3 linked regions of the Rattus norvegicus genome follow. The protein of the gene in region 3 purifies or fractionates together with the protein of the main gene of each other region. This does not show direct contact. Links are inferred from orthologs where the notes say so. Each region holds a gene or a part of one and is shown on either strand. Other genes may lie near its edges.

Region 1 (4,488 bases), on a different chromosome or scaffold from region 3:
TTGCGATCTCTCAAATCTCCAAAGCTACTTTAAACATTATACTTAGTGTAGCCAGAATAGCAAGAGGTTTGGGAATGTCAGTCCGATGACTGGTTAGTTCTTTTTCCTTTTTAAATTTTCTGTATTTCGAACCTATACACCTGCTAAACCTTCTGTTTTCTTTGGACAGGGTCTCACTACGTAGCCATGGTTGGCCTGGAACTTGCTATGCACACCAGGCTGGCCTTGAAGGCACAGAGATCTGCTTGCCTCCCATGTTCTGGGATTAAAAGCATATGACACTACGCCTGGCTATGTATCGTTTCTGTAATGAGTATCACACAGATGTTGAGGGGAATGAGAATTTCTTATTCCTATCAAAATGGCAAAACCTTCAGTATAGCTCAGTAGAATACATCCAACGGCATTATGAGTTGTCATCTGTGTGGAGAAGTGACTCAAAAAAATTCAGCACGTATCGTATCTATACCTAAGTGCCCAGACATACTGGCAGGGGAAACATCTATACGCTTAGTTGGTTTTGTTTTTGTTTTTGTTTTTTAATGTTTAAAGGAATGCTTTCAAAGACTGGGTACCACTGTCCAGCCATATTTGAGTTTTTAGCAGGCTTAGTTCATAACACGTTGGAGGTTGAGGCAGGAGGATTGCTACGAGTCCGAAGCTAGACAGTGAGCTGTCTAGCCGGGACACAGAGTGAATCTTTGTTTCATATTTTTAAAAATTAAGAAAACAAAACTGCCTCAATGACCTGGGCCCTAAGAATAGACTGATTCTTGAGGCTCCTCAACGCCCATCGCACCACTCCTAAAGCCATCTAGTACTTTCTGCCTAGCAATAATGCTCCCGTCAAACTCCGGGATTTTTAAATGACCAGGGTAGAGGGGAAGGGTCCATTTTCTGTGTTCCCACATTCACGGATAAAAATAGGCAAGACAAATGAACCTGGGAAACCTCGCGAGAGTGTGAGGGAAGCATCCCGGAGTCCAGTAGCTAGAGACACCCCGCAAATAGAGGCCGACACCTCTGCTTCCTGTCACGCCCAGTCGAGTGCCGAGGTCGAAGCATCCCTCACACACGAGCAGTAGTGCTTTTCCTGCAAAACTGGCCGCGCAACCGCCACGCCGTAATCCTTAAAGCGCGGAACCGCAACGTTGTGAGGCGAGCACAACGGAACCTTAGAATTCGGAGTGCGGATTACCGGAGAACAAGTTTCTCGGATGCGCAATGACGTCGCGACTTGGCGTGTGGGCGGGCCCAGAGAGACCAGCGTCAGGATAAGCCAATCAGCGGGCACCAAGAGAGCCACAATCCAATGGAGGTGCTCTGTGGGCACGCTGGGGGCGGGCCAGATGCGTAAGACTTTTCGAGAAGACCCGCATAGAGCACGTTGTTCTCGGCCTCTCCCTGAGCTCGACCAGCCATGGCGGCGGTGAAGACCCTAAATCCCAAAGCCGAGGTGGCCCGGGCGCAGGCAGCGCTGGCGGTGAACATCAGCGCGGCACGGGGCCTGCAGGATGTTCTGAGGACCAACTTGGGCCCTAAAGGCACCATGAAGATGTAAGCCCGGGCTGGCGGGCGGGAGGGCCTGGCGGGTCAATGGCCGCAAACTCCAGTCGCTGCCTCCAGGCCTTCGCACTAGCATTTTCTACAATGTTTGTGCTGCATCCCATCCAAACCACCCGGATTCGCGCCTTTCGGGGTTGCGGGTTGCACCCACTTCTTTTGGAGGAAGAGGATGGCGTGTGCACCCTTCCTGAACCCAGCCCCCCCGAGTTTACTAGGATGTAGGAATAAGACCCAAATTTCAGGAGGATCTGTTTTTGTTACCTTATTAGCCAGCAAATTAGTGAAGTTCCCTGAGACGTAGCGCTTGGATTTTTAAGTATACTCTTAGTCACGCCTCTCGTATCCGTTCCTCAAATTACGCCTGCTTTGGAGTCCTATTTCATAGCCTCCTTTTGTCCCCTTTACTCCTCTTTCGCTTTCGTGGGTCTTTTCATTATGTAATTAGTCGAGGTAGAGTCTGACTGATAAGTTATGGTTTGTCTGGAACTCCCAGAGATTTGCATGACTTTAAGAGAGGGTTGGGTGATATACATCACCCCTTGGCTGCTTTGTGGAATTCTTACTTGCTTTTTTATTGGAAAGTCACATTCTTGCTCATCAATCCCTGCCCGTTTGACAGGCTTGTATCTGGTGCTGGAGACATCAAACTTACTAAAGATGGCAATGTGCTACTTCATGAAATGGTAAGAAGCTGCCGTGCTAGGTATTAAAAAAAAAAAAAAACTTTTGACCTGTTCCTTCTGGATAAAATTCTTCATCGTACGTTTCAAGCAGAAATATAGGAAGTGCTGTAGTGGGTGAGGAACTCTGTAGAGTCTCAAATGTGTGTTTGGGTCCTTGGTATTTTGTTTTGGTTTTGGCCTACTTTGTATAGTCTGGGCTAAAAAAAAAATAATAACAATAATTGTATAAAAGATCGCTATGTCTGCTTTAGCTAAATCTTGTAACACAGCTTTAATCCCAGTACTCAACTAGATCTCAGGATTCAAAGCCAGACAGAGCTACATATGCAAAAACAGGGCAGTGGGAAAGAAAAGCAAAAATGAATGATCATCTTTTTACTCAACTGCAGGAGAAATGAAAAATCTCCTTACTTTGTTTGAGATGAGTCTCACTGTGTAAGCCTCAGTGATTACCTACTTTCTTTCCCTGAATGCTGGGATTAAAGCTGTGCGCCTCACACCAGGCTACCTTAGAGTTGTTATTTTTGTCCCTGGGATCATATTAAATTGACCCAATTACCCATTTCCCTCACCAGAACTTTCAGGTCCTGTAGTTCACATCCCAGTAAAGGGAATGTCTTGAACATCCAACCAAAATGTAGCCATGCTGTGCAATCTTGAGTGGGACGCTGTAAAAGAAGCCTTTCTTATGTTTTACCCTAGGTAACCATAAGTCATTTAAGTAGTTCTTTTTCTACCTGCAGCAAATTCAACACCCAACAGCCTCTTTGATAGCAAAAGTGGCTACAGCGCAGGATGACATAACCGGCGATGGCACTACATCCAATGTCCTCATCATCGGAGAGCTGCTCAAACAAGCGGACCTCTACATTTCTGAAGTACACAATGATTCATGTTTCTGAGTTTCTGCTTGTTGTTTGGTGGGCTAATGGTGCTAATTGATGTGATGCTAGCTGAGGGCACACCGTAGAACGGTTGAGCTGCTTAGCTCAGAGAGCCTCTGCCTGTCTGTCACTGGTCTGAAATGAATGGGAAAAAATCACCTCTAAGTAATGATTACATATTTTTAATGGACTAGCCTACTCTGGTTTCTTTTTAAAAATATTTCAAAATGATGTGAATTAGTTTCAGATTACCTGTAGACAAGAGAAGCAAGCTCTTACAGCAAAATGTTAGGAGCCAGTTTTGAGTTCGTGGATTGCACAGTGAACACCCAAGTGTGCTCTGTAGTTCCCTTGGCCTTGACTCTGTGCTAGAGTAAAGTCTGTTCTTTTCCTCTGCATTGAAAGGAGTACTGTGTCCTTTTAAATGTATTCAGAAAATCAGCACACCATCTTAATTGTAGTGAATAGGAGGGCCCCAGGGTGTCCCTTGAGATTACTGACTGACTGGGTTTCAGTGGTATCCTGTTGAAGATGCAGGTGTTGGCACTGGCTTTATAGCTGTTTGGATTATAGGGTCTCCATCCCAGAATAATAACCGAAGGCTTTGAAGCTGCAAAGGAAAAGGCACTCCAGTTTTTGGAACAAGTCAAAGTAAGCAAAGAGATGGACAGAGAAACACTCATCGATGTGGCCAGGACATCTCTGCGGACTAAAGTTCATGCTGAGCTTGCAGATGTCTTGACAGAGGTGTGTATCGGCCTCGTGTGGTGCAATGCATGGGGAAAGTCTGATGTAAAAACCTGTTCTAAGCGTGCATGTGTAGGCTTTTCACAGAAAGTCTGTGTAGAGGAAGGGGTTAGGGTTTTCCCTGGGCAGTAATGATCTAATCTGTCTTCAGCTTGGAAAGATGGAGTTAGTAACAGGCCAGGCTTAGGAAGAATTGACACTCCTCCAAAATGTCTCTAGTCATACTTTGGGGAACTGGTCTGCTAGTCCACAATACAGTATGAATTGTAGGGCTGAGATTGGGGACCTGTGCCACCATAAAATAGCACTTGTGGGGTTTCAGAGACAATTTTCTTAAGCCTTTTCCACTCTTCTGAACAACAGCTAAATAAAGTGTGTCAGGCTCTGCACATTAAATTTATTAATGGTTATCTCATAGGCTGTGGTGGACTCCATTTTGGCCATTAGGAAAAAAGATGAGCCCATTGACCTCTTCATGGTTGAGATCATGGAGATGAAGCATAAATCTGAAACTGATACAAGGTAGGCAAGAGAATGCTTTGAAGTGCTTTCTACCACTGAGCTGCGGGCTTCCCCCCAGCCCCCAGTCCTGAGACATGTTCATACTG
Region 2 (4,480 bases), on a different chromosome or scaffold from region 3:
CTTCAATCTCTCCCAGCATGTTTTATGTAGTATTATTTTCTTTCGTGTGTGTAGATTTAGATTGCCCTTAAGACAAAAGTTGTGCTGAGAACGTGGAGGGCTGAAACTGGCATCTGCAAGAGGTTCCAAGGGTCTGGCTATTGGATTATGGGACTGTCACTCTACTTGCTAGTCAGTGATGCAGAACCCCAGATGGTTTCTTTCTGGTCACAGCCAGAAAGCTCCTTAGGAAATGGTGTCCTCAAGAGGGGGAAGATCAGGACAACTCGGTCACCTGTGGGACTGATACTTAGATACTTAGACACAGGATGGGCATCTCAAAGAGTCACAGGGACAATTTTCCCTTCTCAGTCTACCACTTGCTATTAGTTTGATTACTCAGAGGGGGACAGGTAGGTTGAGCTCCCATTCAGGAGAAACAGTCCTTTGCAAATCCATTCTGATCTTGGTACTAGCATCTCAATTTTCCAGGAGAGGAAGCTGAGGACAGAGCTGTGACCTGCCAAGATCTAAATCTAAGTCCCTCTGTGTGTTGTCTACAGAGCAGCCTTAACAATGCAAACTGCCTCACAGAAGTCAGGCTTTCTGACACACTGAGCCACTTAGGCCCCACCCCTGCACCAGCTCGCAGAGACTCCTTCTAGTCTTAATAGCTAACATTTGGGGCTGCTTCTTGAATACCATCGGAGTGACTAGTAGCTCAGGAAATTATCAACATTTACCATCACACTCATTTGGGTTGCCACCAGCCAAAGTCTATTATTAGCGTTTATCTCGAACTAGTCACCCGCTGGCGCGAGCTACGTCATCGCCAAACGCAGCTCAGGAATCTTGGGAGCAGACGTCTCTTCCAAACATCCTAGCTTCTTTGATTTGCTCCACACAACACAACTGATGCGAATCCGTAGGTCTTCTAGGATGACTAGCCTGGAATTGAGAATGGCGGCAGCAGCAATCCGAACCACAGCAGCGGTGGATGCGGGGGTGGGGAGTGGGGAGCGTGTTAGCGCTAGGGGCAGATCCGGGTCTCGAACCTGGGAGTAGAACACCACGCAGGCGCAGTAGGACCGGTTCCACGGGCATGCTCGCGAGAGGTGTGGTTTGCACCCGAAGCGTTGTGGGCGGACTAGATCAGTTTTGTGGGCTGGAGGTGGGCGGGTAAATTAAAACGCTCAGCCCAATGGAAAAGAAGGGATGAGGGCCCGGGGCCACACAGGTCGCCGGGAATTTGGCGGCGCGAGTCAAGGGCGGAGTTTGGAAAGGGGGCAGTGCTCAGTAAGTAGGGACAAAACGATTGGCCGGCGTGGATGGCTGGGCGGGAGTTGGGCGGAGGCTTGCCACCGGCTGAGGGAGCTTGGTTAAACGGTAGGCGTCTGGGAAGGGGGTGGGGTCTGAAGGATTCTGCTCGAAAGGGGCAGTCCTCTGAGCAGCGGGGCAAAGGGGAAAGCTGGGGGCGAGATCTGTGAGAGAGGAAGGTGCGGGCTCGGCCCTACAGGAGGTGGAGTTGAGTGAGTCTTTGAGGGTGCTGCCGAGGCCGCGGCAGCCTGGTCTGGCGGACGAGAAAGGTGGGTGATTTATCTGGGGAGCTAGGCTGAAGCGGGCAGGTTGCAGAAGCCAAGCGTTCCGAGCGCAGATTAGAGGTATGAAAGGATGTGGGAAGTGGAGGGGTGGGGGGCGGTGACTGGACAGGGCAGGCCTTAGAAGAGCCTGGCTGAGCCTGGGCTTACCTCGTTTAGTGAATAGGCAAAATGAGGAAAGAATCGGGTAAAAGCAGCGAGGTCCAGGGGGAATGGACCGGACCAGGTTTCCTCTAGGAGAAGATGGCCTTGGGGGGGGCGGGGTTTAGAAGGCTCGGGAATGGAACGGGGTGAAGGCTGCGCTCTAGAATAGGGGGCGGGGCCTGGAAAGGAGCTGTGATGTGGGGTCCTCTGGACACTGCAGCCGCCTCACCACCAACGACACCTTTGCTAGAGCCGTTCCAGGAGCAAAGGCTCTTCAGCCATGACCTCCACCGGCCAAGATTCTTCTACCAGGCAGCGAAAGAGTAGGCACAATCCCCAATCGCCCCTTCAGGACTCCAGCGCCACCTTGGTGAGGCCCCAGACCAGCCCTGCTGGGGAGTGGAAGGGGGGGTGGGAAGCCAGCCATCCATGTCTTCTGATTCTTCTCTCTGATTGGCAGAAGCGTGGTGGGAAGAAGGGTGCTGTACCCCACTCCAGCCCCAATCTAGCGGAGGTAAAGAAGAAAGGCAAAATGAAGAAGCTCAGCCAACCAGCTGAAGAAGACCTAATCGTTGGGCTTCAAGGGCTGGTAAGCGAGGCCTGGCTGAAGTTTGGCCTTCTTTACCAAACAAAACAGTGATTTTCCCCATCATGGACGGTGTGAGGTGTTTCCTCTGATTGGATCTGTGTTTCATTTCTTTCCCCTGCAGGATCTGAACTCTGAGACAAGAGTACCAGTTGGTACTGGATTGGTATTTGATGAACAGCTAAATGACTTCCACTGCCTTTGGGATGACAGGTGAGCCTGGGATCACCAAATTGTCCCCAAACTATAAAATTTACACAATTGCCCCCTTCTTCCCACAAACAAGAGTGAATCTTTTGTTATTCGAGCCTGTAGTCTGGAAGCAGGTGATTTAGGGAGTGGGGATCATTCTGGAAAGGGTTTTCTTTTAAGCCAATAAACGGAGTGTATACTGTGTGCCAAGAGTTACTGATATATGTGACCAACATAGAAAAGACCTTTCTCAGCTCACTGGTGAGTATGAGGGGAGATCATTAAACACCCAACAGTGGTATAAACTGTTCAATGAAGACGAAATGACTGGGAAATCCACGTGCAAAATTTTGCTTTGAGATAGAATCTGACGCTGTACCCTGGGCTATCCTGGAACTCATTATGTAGTCATCGGCCTCAAACCTCCCATGAGCCTCCTGTCTTAGCCACTTGAGTGCTGATATTTGTAGGCATAAACTACTACACTTGGCTAGAAATGATTGTTAGAGGGCCCTGGCCTCTAGCTAGCATGAGCCTTCTTTAAGAATGAGACATTTGGGGCTGGGGATTTAGCTCAGTGGTAGAGCGCTTACCTAGGAAGCGCAAGGCCCTGGGTTCGGTCCCCAGCTCCGAAAAAAAAAAAAACCAAAAAAAAAAAAAAGAATGAGACATTTATGCTGAAATACACTTCTCGAAAGAATCTATTTATTCTTTTTGGCTCTGTCTTCAAAATATATTCACTATCTGATTTCTTTCCACTTGTTCCCTGCTTCTAGCCTCCACATTGAAACCTAAAAAAAAATACATTTGAGATATTTCCTTTCTTAAAATACTTCAAGGCCAGAGCATTGCTCTTAAGGTAAAATTGGAATTCTTTATCTTGGCCTCTAAGGTTCCACGTGATTTGGCTCCCTGTCACCTTTTGTGACCTGTTCAGCCAGGCCTTTCCTTGTGTGCTTCAGTTCACTTCACTCACACTGGCCGCCTTCTCTTCTTTCAATATGCCAGGCGCCCTCTAGCCTTGGGTCTTTACCCTTGACTGATTCCTCTTTCAACTTTCACAGCTATGGAGACTCGCAGAAGCCTTTGACTGGCCACTACCTTTCTCACATCTGATCTTAGCTGTTTTACTAGCCTCCGTCATCGTTTGTTAATCATTACACTGATATTTACAAATATAGTAGCCGTCTCCCCTATCCTAACCTGAAACTAACTCACGATGTCAAGAGGCTCTCTTTATGGTACATTTGTTGAGGATACAGCCGTAAACAAAGTTGCCTTCAGAAGTAGTCAAGAGGTGACCTCTACAGTGTTAGAGCAGAGGAATTCAGGTGGGAGGGAGAGGAAAGTTTGAGTAGAAGGGGTGCTTCCCTTTGGAATACAATAGCTAGGGGAGGTAGTGCTAACATTTGAGTAAAGATACAAGGGGCGGAGGGGGGAGGCTAAGGGACTGAGCCATGAGTCATCGCTGAAAAGAGTATTCCAGACATGTAAGACAGTTGAAGTCCTCAGGTCTAGCTGAAGGGAATGTGATTTAATTGCAGACCAAGGACCATAGCCCAGGAAACAAGGTGAAAGAGGAGGGGTGTGGTTAGAAAGAACCAGAATAGGGATGGGGCTAGCTTTATTTTTTAGGGCCTTCTAGGTGTGATGCAAAGTTTGGCTTTACTGGGAACAGAGTCAGAGCTACAAAAGGGTGTTGAGGAGTAAAAATCCTAACCACTGGCTGGCTGCAGTGTAAAGGAGGGGCTATTGGGGGAATCCGTGTAGAAGCAGGGGGCGGTTCGGGTAAAGGTGATGGAGCAGACAGCTCAGACTGCAGTTTCCCACTACCCGCATGAATGCTAGCAGGGAGGAAAGTAGTGGAAGACGTAAGGAAATGCTAATGTTGCAGGTAAGAGGTGAGCAGCTATGGGAGGGTGGGTAGGAGATGGGACAAGAGCAGACGTGCTCCCTAGCATTTTGTCTGTGTATCTGTGTG
Region 3 (4,804 bases):
AACCTTTTTTTTTTTTTCTTTTCTTTTTTTCGGAGCTGGGGACCGAACCCAGGGCCTTGCGCTTGCTAGGTAAGAAGCCTTCTTTTGACAAGGAAATTAGATCATGTTTTCCGCAAATCTTTTACTTATTTTGGTGTGTGTGTGTTATGTGTGTGTGTGTGTGTGTGTGTATACATAGCACATAGGTGAGCATCATATGATTGAGTGATCAACTTTAGTTTTGTTTTAAATTTATCACACCTACCAATTTATATATGGGTGTATTTCTGTTTTCCCCCTTGTTTGCTTGTTTTTGTTACATGGTTTCACTGACCTGGAACTAATCCAGAACGGCTATTCTGGCTAGCCTCTGAGCCTGTGTCTCTGCAGCACTGGCAATACAAGCACCAGCCACCATGACTGTCCCCCCACGCCCTCTGGGCTCTGGGGAATCAAGCTCCGGTCCTAACTGAACCATTTCCTAGACCCCCAAATTACCCACAAAACTGCTGCTGAAGCTTCTAGACCCTCCTCTTCTAACAGGGGGCATCCTGCTCTCAACTCCTGTCTGCTCCTTCTCCTAATTAACTGGCTACAGCATTCCTTTACTGTGACTCCTGGAATTGTGTTTAGCTGCACTATGACAAGAATCCCAGGGCACCTGACTAAGAGGCGCCTGAGGATCTGAAAGGGGGAGTTCTCAGGCTGCACAGCTGCAAAGGATCTGTGCTCTGTGCCGCCTCTGCCGGGAGGACATTTTGAATAGTTTAGTAATTGCAATGTGAGGGCAATTTTAAAGCCACACGTTAGCGCCGATCACCTTATGAATAGTAGTTTATGGTCCTGAAATAAATTCGGGGGTAGTTTATAATCCGATATGCAACACAGCGCCAAGCAATCCTTTTAGGAAACTTACATAGCACAAGAAATCCCTAATATTCTTCTGTGAGACATTTTCCTTCTAGTTTCGCCTCACTTGTTCCATTTAGCTACTGCCTCAAATGTTTAGAAATCTTTTCAAAGAGTCCTTACTTAGGTTATTCCATCCAGTTGATAGCTTAAGGCTAAAGATGGGGCCTACTCTGCCCTTACTTCAATAAGCTCAATATTTCATGCTTAGCTACTACCACCCTTTCCTTGGGTGATTGAAAGTGCTTCCAGTACTTGATACCCTTAGTATCGAGGACGAGCAATGTATCAAGTATGGCGACTCGCCTTCAAAGGGGGCTTTCACCGCAGGTAAGTTCAAAATGCACAGGCGTTAAAGGAAGCAAGGAGCAAGATAAAACTCACTCATCCAGTGTGACCACATGAATAGAATCAACCGAGCTATCTGGACCACAAGCATTTTAGGATGCTTCTTCACCTTTAAAACTGCGGGCCGGCCAGGTTCCAGGGTTCGCCCACATAGTGTGAATCTCCCCTAGTTACCTCTGCCGCAGCTCCCGCTGCCGCCCCGCATTGCAGCGGCGCGCCCCTGGCTGCAGCAAGGCGCGCGCCCCGGCGGCGGCGGCCCCGCCCCGCGGGCCCACGCAGGGAGGGGGCTCGGAGCCGAGCCCGCCTCTGCGGCGGTCAGGCCGGGCGCCCAATGGACGCGGCTGGTCCGGGGAGGGACCGTGACCAGCGGTCGCGCCCGCCCCTCCTCAGCTGCTACTTAAGAGGCTCCGGCGCGGGCGCCTCCGCCTCATTGCGTTACTTACCTCGACTCTTAGTTGTCGGGAACGGTAACCGGGACCCGGTGTCTGCTTCTATCACCCTCGCCTTCTAACCCGTAGCTATCATGGTGAGTGGTTTGGTCTGGAGAGGGGAGATGGAGGGGAGGGAGGAGCTCGCCCGGGGCTATGATCGAGGGGTGCGCGTGCGGAAGAGCTTGGGCCCCATGATGCTGGGGACGTCCGTGGTTTGGGGCAGAAGGGAAGCACTCGGATCTCTCTGGAATCCGGTCTCCAATCATCACACCCTGCGCAAAACCTGCAGCGTGGCGCTTTCAGACTGCTGTCTTCCCGCGGGGGCCCTTCCCCCATCCCTGACTTGCTTGCTGCTTTTCGGGCGCGCGCGGCTTTTCCCCGCCCTCACTTCCTCTTTAGCGCGAAAAGGCGGGGGCGGGAAGGCGCCGGAGACAAAGGACGCATGCGCAACCGTTACATTCCCGCCTGAGAGCGGCGGGAAGAGCCTCCGCAGTGTGCGCGTGCGCGCTGAGGCACTGCGGGTTTAATTCGTTTGGGTGTGTCTCCAGTTGGATCCCTGTTTTAAGCTGAAGTTCAAACGTAGGATCTCTACCATCCTAAACCAGCTACTGCCGAGTTGCAATCTCAGCCACGACCTTTTTGCTTTTAATGAAAGCAATAAGGAATTTGGGCAATATTCCCTCAAATCTCCAGTCAGAAATTTGGGTGGGACCAGATGATGACATTGACGTGTTTTGAGGGAACAGAAATCGGATCGCAGCAGTTGATAATCCCCTGCTGAACCAAGACAGATGTGGAGGAGCTGAACTCTGTGCCTACAAATAGAGGAAGCTGAAAGCCAACAGCCTCCAGGCTGCTCAAGGCGCATGCTCTCAAAATTGCTCCTTTACCACCTGCGGCAGAGCCCAGCCCCTTGTCCCTGCAGCGAGGCACCTCCCTGCCCTGCTCCAGCTGAGTGCTTCCTGTGCCTAGAATTGTTCTGAAATCTGGACACCAGAGCAAAAGTAGAGCTGAGACGGTAGATGAACGGCCTTTGTATATTGGTATTCAGAAAGGGAAAGCCGTAACCACGCCTAAGTGGCCGAATTTGTCACATTGTGCCACTAAGAACTCAATTGCTTGCAACATTGCTAATATTCTTTTCTTCCTTCCCTTCCACAGCGTGAGTGCATCTCCATCCACGTCGGCCAGGCTGGTGTCCAGATCGGCAATGCCTGCTGGGAGCTCTACTGCCTGGAACATGGCATCCAGCCTGATGGCCAGATGCCAAGCGACAAGACCATTGGGGGAGGAGATGACTCCTTCAACACCTTCTTCAGTGAGACAGGAGCTGGCAAGCACGTGCCCCGGGCGGTGTTCGTAGACCTGGAACCCACAGTTATTGGTAAGTGGACTGGGGGCTTCCCTGGGGCAGTCCTTCTTGGTCACATACTCAGAATGTCTCTCCAGACCCGGAAGGGTGAGTGAGCTTGTGGGGTCCTTGGTGGTGATGGCTGACGTCTTCTCCTTTTTCAGATGAAGTTCGCACTGGCACCTACCGCCAGCTCTTCCACCCAGAGCAGCTCATCACAGGCAAGGAAGATGCTGCCAATAACTATGCCCGTGGCCACTACACCATTGGCAAGGAGATCATTGACCTTGTCTTGGACAGAATTCGCAAGCTGGTAAATACCCTATGTGGATGGGTTTAAAATGCAGTGGGAGGGTGTCTTGGTATCTGTCAAAATGTGTCAGGTCTTTCCTATCAGGTAGAGATGGCTCACAGTCTAAAGGAATTGAAATAGTGTATGCCCTGGTAATAAGACATTATATGTCCTTTTCTCCCACAGGCTGACCAGTGCACGGGTCTCCAGGGCTTCTTGGTTTTCCACAGCTTTGGTGGGGGAACTGGCTCTGGGTTCACCTCCCTGCTGATGGAGAGGCTCTCTGTCGACTACGGAAAGAAGTCCAAGCTGGAGTTCTCCATTTACCCAGCCCCCCAGGTTTCCACTGCTGTGGTTGAGCCCTACAATTCCATCCTCACCACCCACACCACCCTGGAGCACTCTGATTGTGCCTTCATGGTAGACAATGAGGCCATCTATGACATCTGTCGTAGAAACCTCGACATTGAGCGCCCAACCTACACTAACCTTAACCGCCTTATTAGCCAGATTGTGTCTTCCATCACTGCTTCCCTCAGATTTGATGGGGCCCTGAATGTTGATCTGACAGAATTCCAGACCAACCTGGTGCCCTACCCTCGCATCCACTTCCCTCTGGCCACTTATGCCCCTGTCATCTCTGCTGAGAAAGCCTACCATGAACAGCTTTCTGTAGCAGAGATCACCAATGCCTGCTTTGAGCCAGCCAACCAGATGGTGAAATGTGACCCTCGCCATGGTAAATACATGGCTTGCTGCCTGCTGTACCGTGGTGATGTGGTCCCCAAAGATGTCAATGCTGCCATTGCCACCATCAAGACCAAGCGCAGCATCCAGTTTGTGGACTGGTGCCCCACTGGCTTCAAGGTTGGCATTAATTACCAGCCTCCCACTGTGGTACCTGGTGGCGACCTGGCCAAGGTCCAGAGAGCTGTGTGTATGCTGAGCAACACCACAGCCATTGCTGAGGCTTGGGCTCGCCTGGATCACAAGTTTGATCTGATGTATGCCAAGCGTGCCTTTGTGCACTGGTATGTGGGTGAGGGCATGGAGGAGGGAGAGTTCTCTGAAGCCCGTGAGGACATGGCTGCCCTAGAGAAGGATTATGAGGAGGTTGGTGTGGATTCTGTGGAGGGTGAGGGTGAGGAAGAAGGAGAGGAATACTAGTTCATTCCTGCAGTCCCTGTATCATGTCAAACTCAACTCCAGCTCCAGCACTAGCTGCAGGCATCGATGCTTCTATGCTGTTTCCCTTCTGTGATCATGTCTTCTCCATGTGTACCTCTTAAGTTTCCCATGACGTCTCAAAGTAAAAGCTTTAAGAAAAGAATTCGTCTTTGTGTACTTTTTACTTAGGATAAACCTCTTGTATCCTAGATCAGCCTAGGCCTGCCCCTCCTGTTTTAATCCCTATGATAGTAATTAGAGGTAACTACCTGGGTGATTCGTGGCTTCTTGTGTGCTAGGGGAGCACTAGACTGAGAAAGTCTGTAT

Evidence for each region. The genes of interacting proteins can lie anywhere in the genome.
Region 1: the proteins of Tuba1b (region 3) and Cct6a purify together in Homo sapiens (affinity purification with mass spectrometry; 3 studies listed by BioGRID and IntAct, counting the BioPlex papers as one, with this or other methods). This does not show direct contact. The link is inferred for Rattus norvegicus from reciprocal best matches to the Homo sapiens genes TUBA1B and CCT6A.
Region 2: the proteins of Tuba1b (region 3) and Hdac6 purify together in Homo sapiens (affinity purification with western blotting; 4 studies listed by BioGRID, with this or other methods). This does not show direct contact. The link is inferred for Rattus norvegicus from reciprocal best matches to the Homo sapiens genes TUBA1B and HDAC6.

The regions. Positions count from the first base shown.
Region 1 is NC_086030.1:32,515,987-32,520,474, reverse strand, and holds the start of Cct6a (T-complex protein 1 subunit zeta), read left to right. Parts: upstream 1-1,402; 5' UTR 1,403-1,420; coding exon 1,421-1,557; intron 1,558-2,185; coding exon 2,186-2,249; intron 2,250-2,992; coding exon 2,993-3,127; intron 3,128-3,447; exon of another isoform or gene 3,448-3,582; intron 3,583-3,706; coding exon 3,707-3,880; intron 3,881-4,298; coding exon 4,299-4,402; intron 4,403-4,488. UniProt on the Homo sapiens protein: Component of the chaperonin-containing T-complex (TRiC), a molecular chaperone complex that assists the folding of actin, tubulin and other proteins upon ATP hydrolysis.
Region 2 is NC_086039.1:17,221,781-17,226,260, forward strand, and holds the start of Hdac6 (histone deacetylase 6), read left to right. Parts: upstream 1-1,394; 5' UTR 1,395-1,565; exon of another isoform or gene 1,566-1,640; intron 1,641-1,727; exon of another isoform or gene 1,728-1,935; intron 1,936-1,941; exon of another isoform or gene 1,942-1,971; 5' UTR 1,972-2,001; coding exon 2,002-2,091; intron 2,092-2,181; coding exon 2,182-2,310; intron 2,311-2,431; coding exon 2,432-2,520; intron 2,521-4,480.
Region 3 is NC_086025.1:131,969,444-131,974,247, reverse strand, and holds Tuba1b (tubulin alpha-1B chain), read left to right. Parts: upstream 1-1,660; 5' UTR 1,661-1,759; coding exon 1,760-1,762; intron 1,763-2,828; coding exon 2,829-3,051; intron 3,052-3,182; coding exon 3,183-3,331; intron 3,332-3,496; coding exon 3,497-4,477; 3' UTR 4,478-4,642; downstream 4,643-4,804. UniProt on the Homo sapiens protein: Tubulin is the major constituent of microtubules, protein filaments consisting of alpha- and beta-tubulin heterodimers. Microtubules grow by the addition of GTP-tubulin dimers to the microtubule end, where a stabilizing cap forms.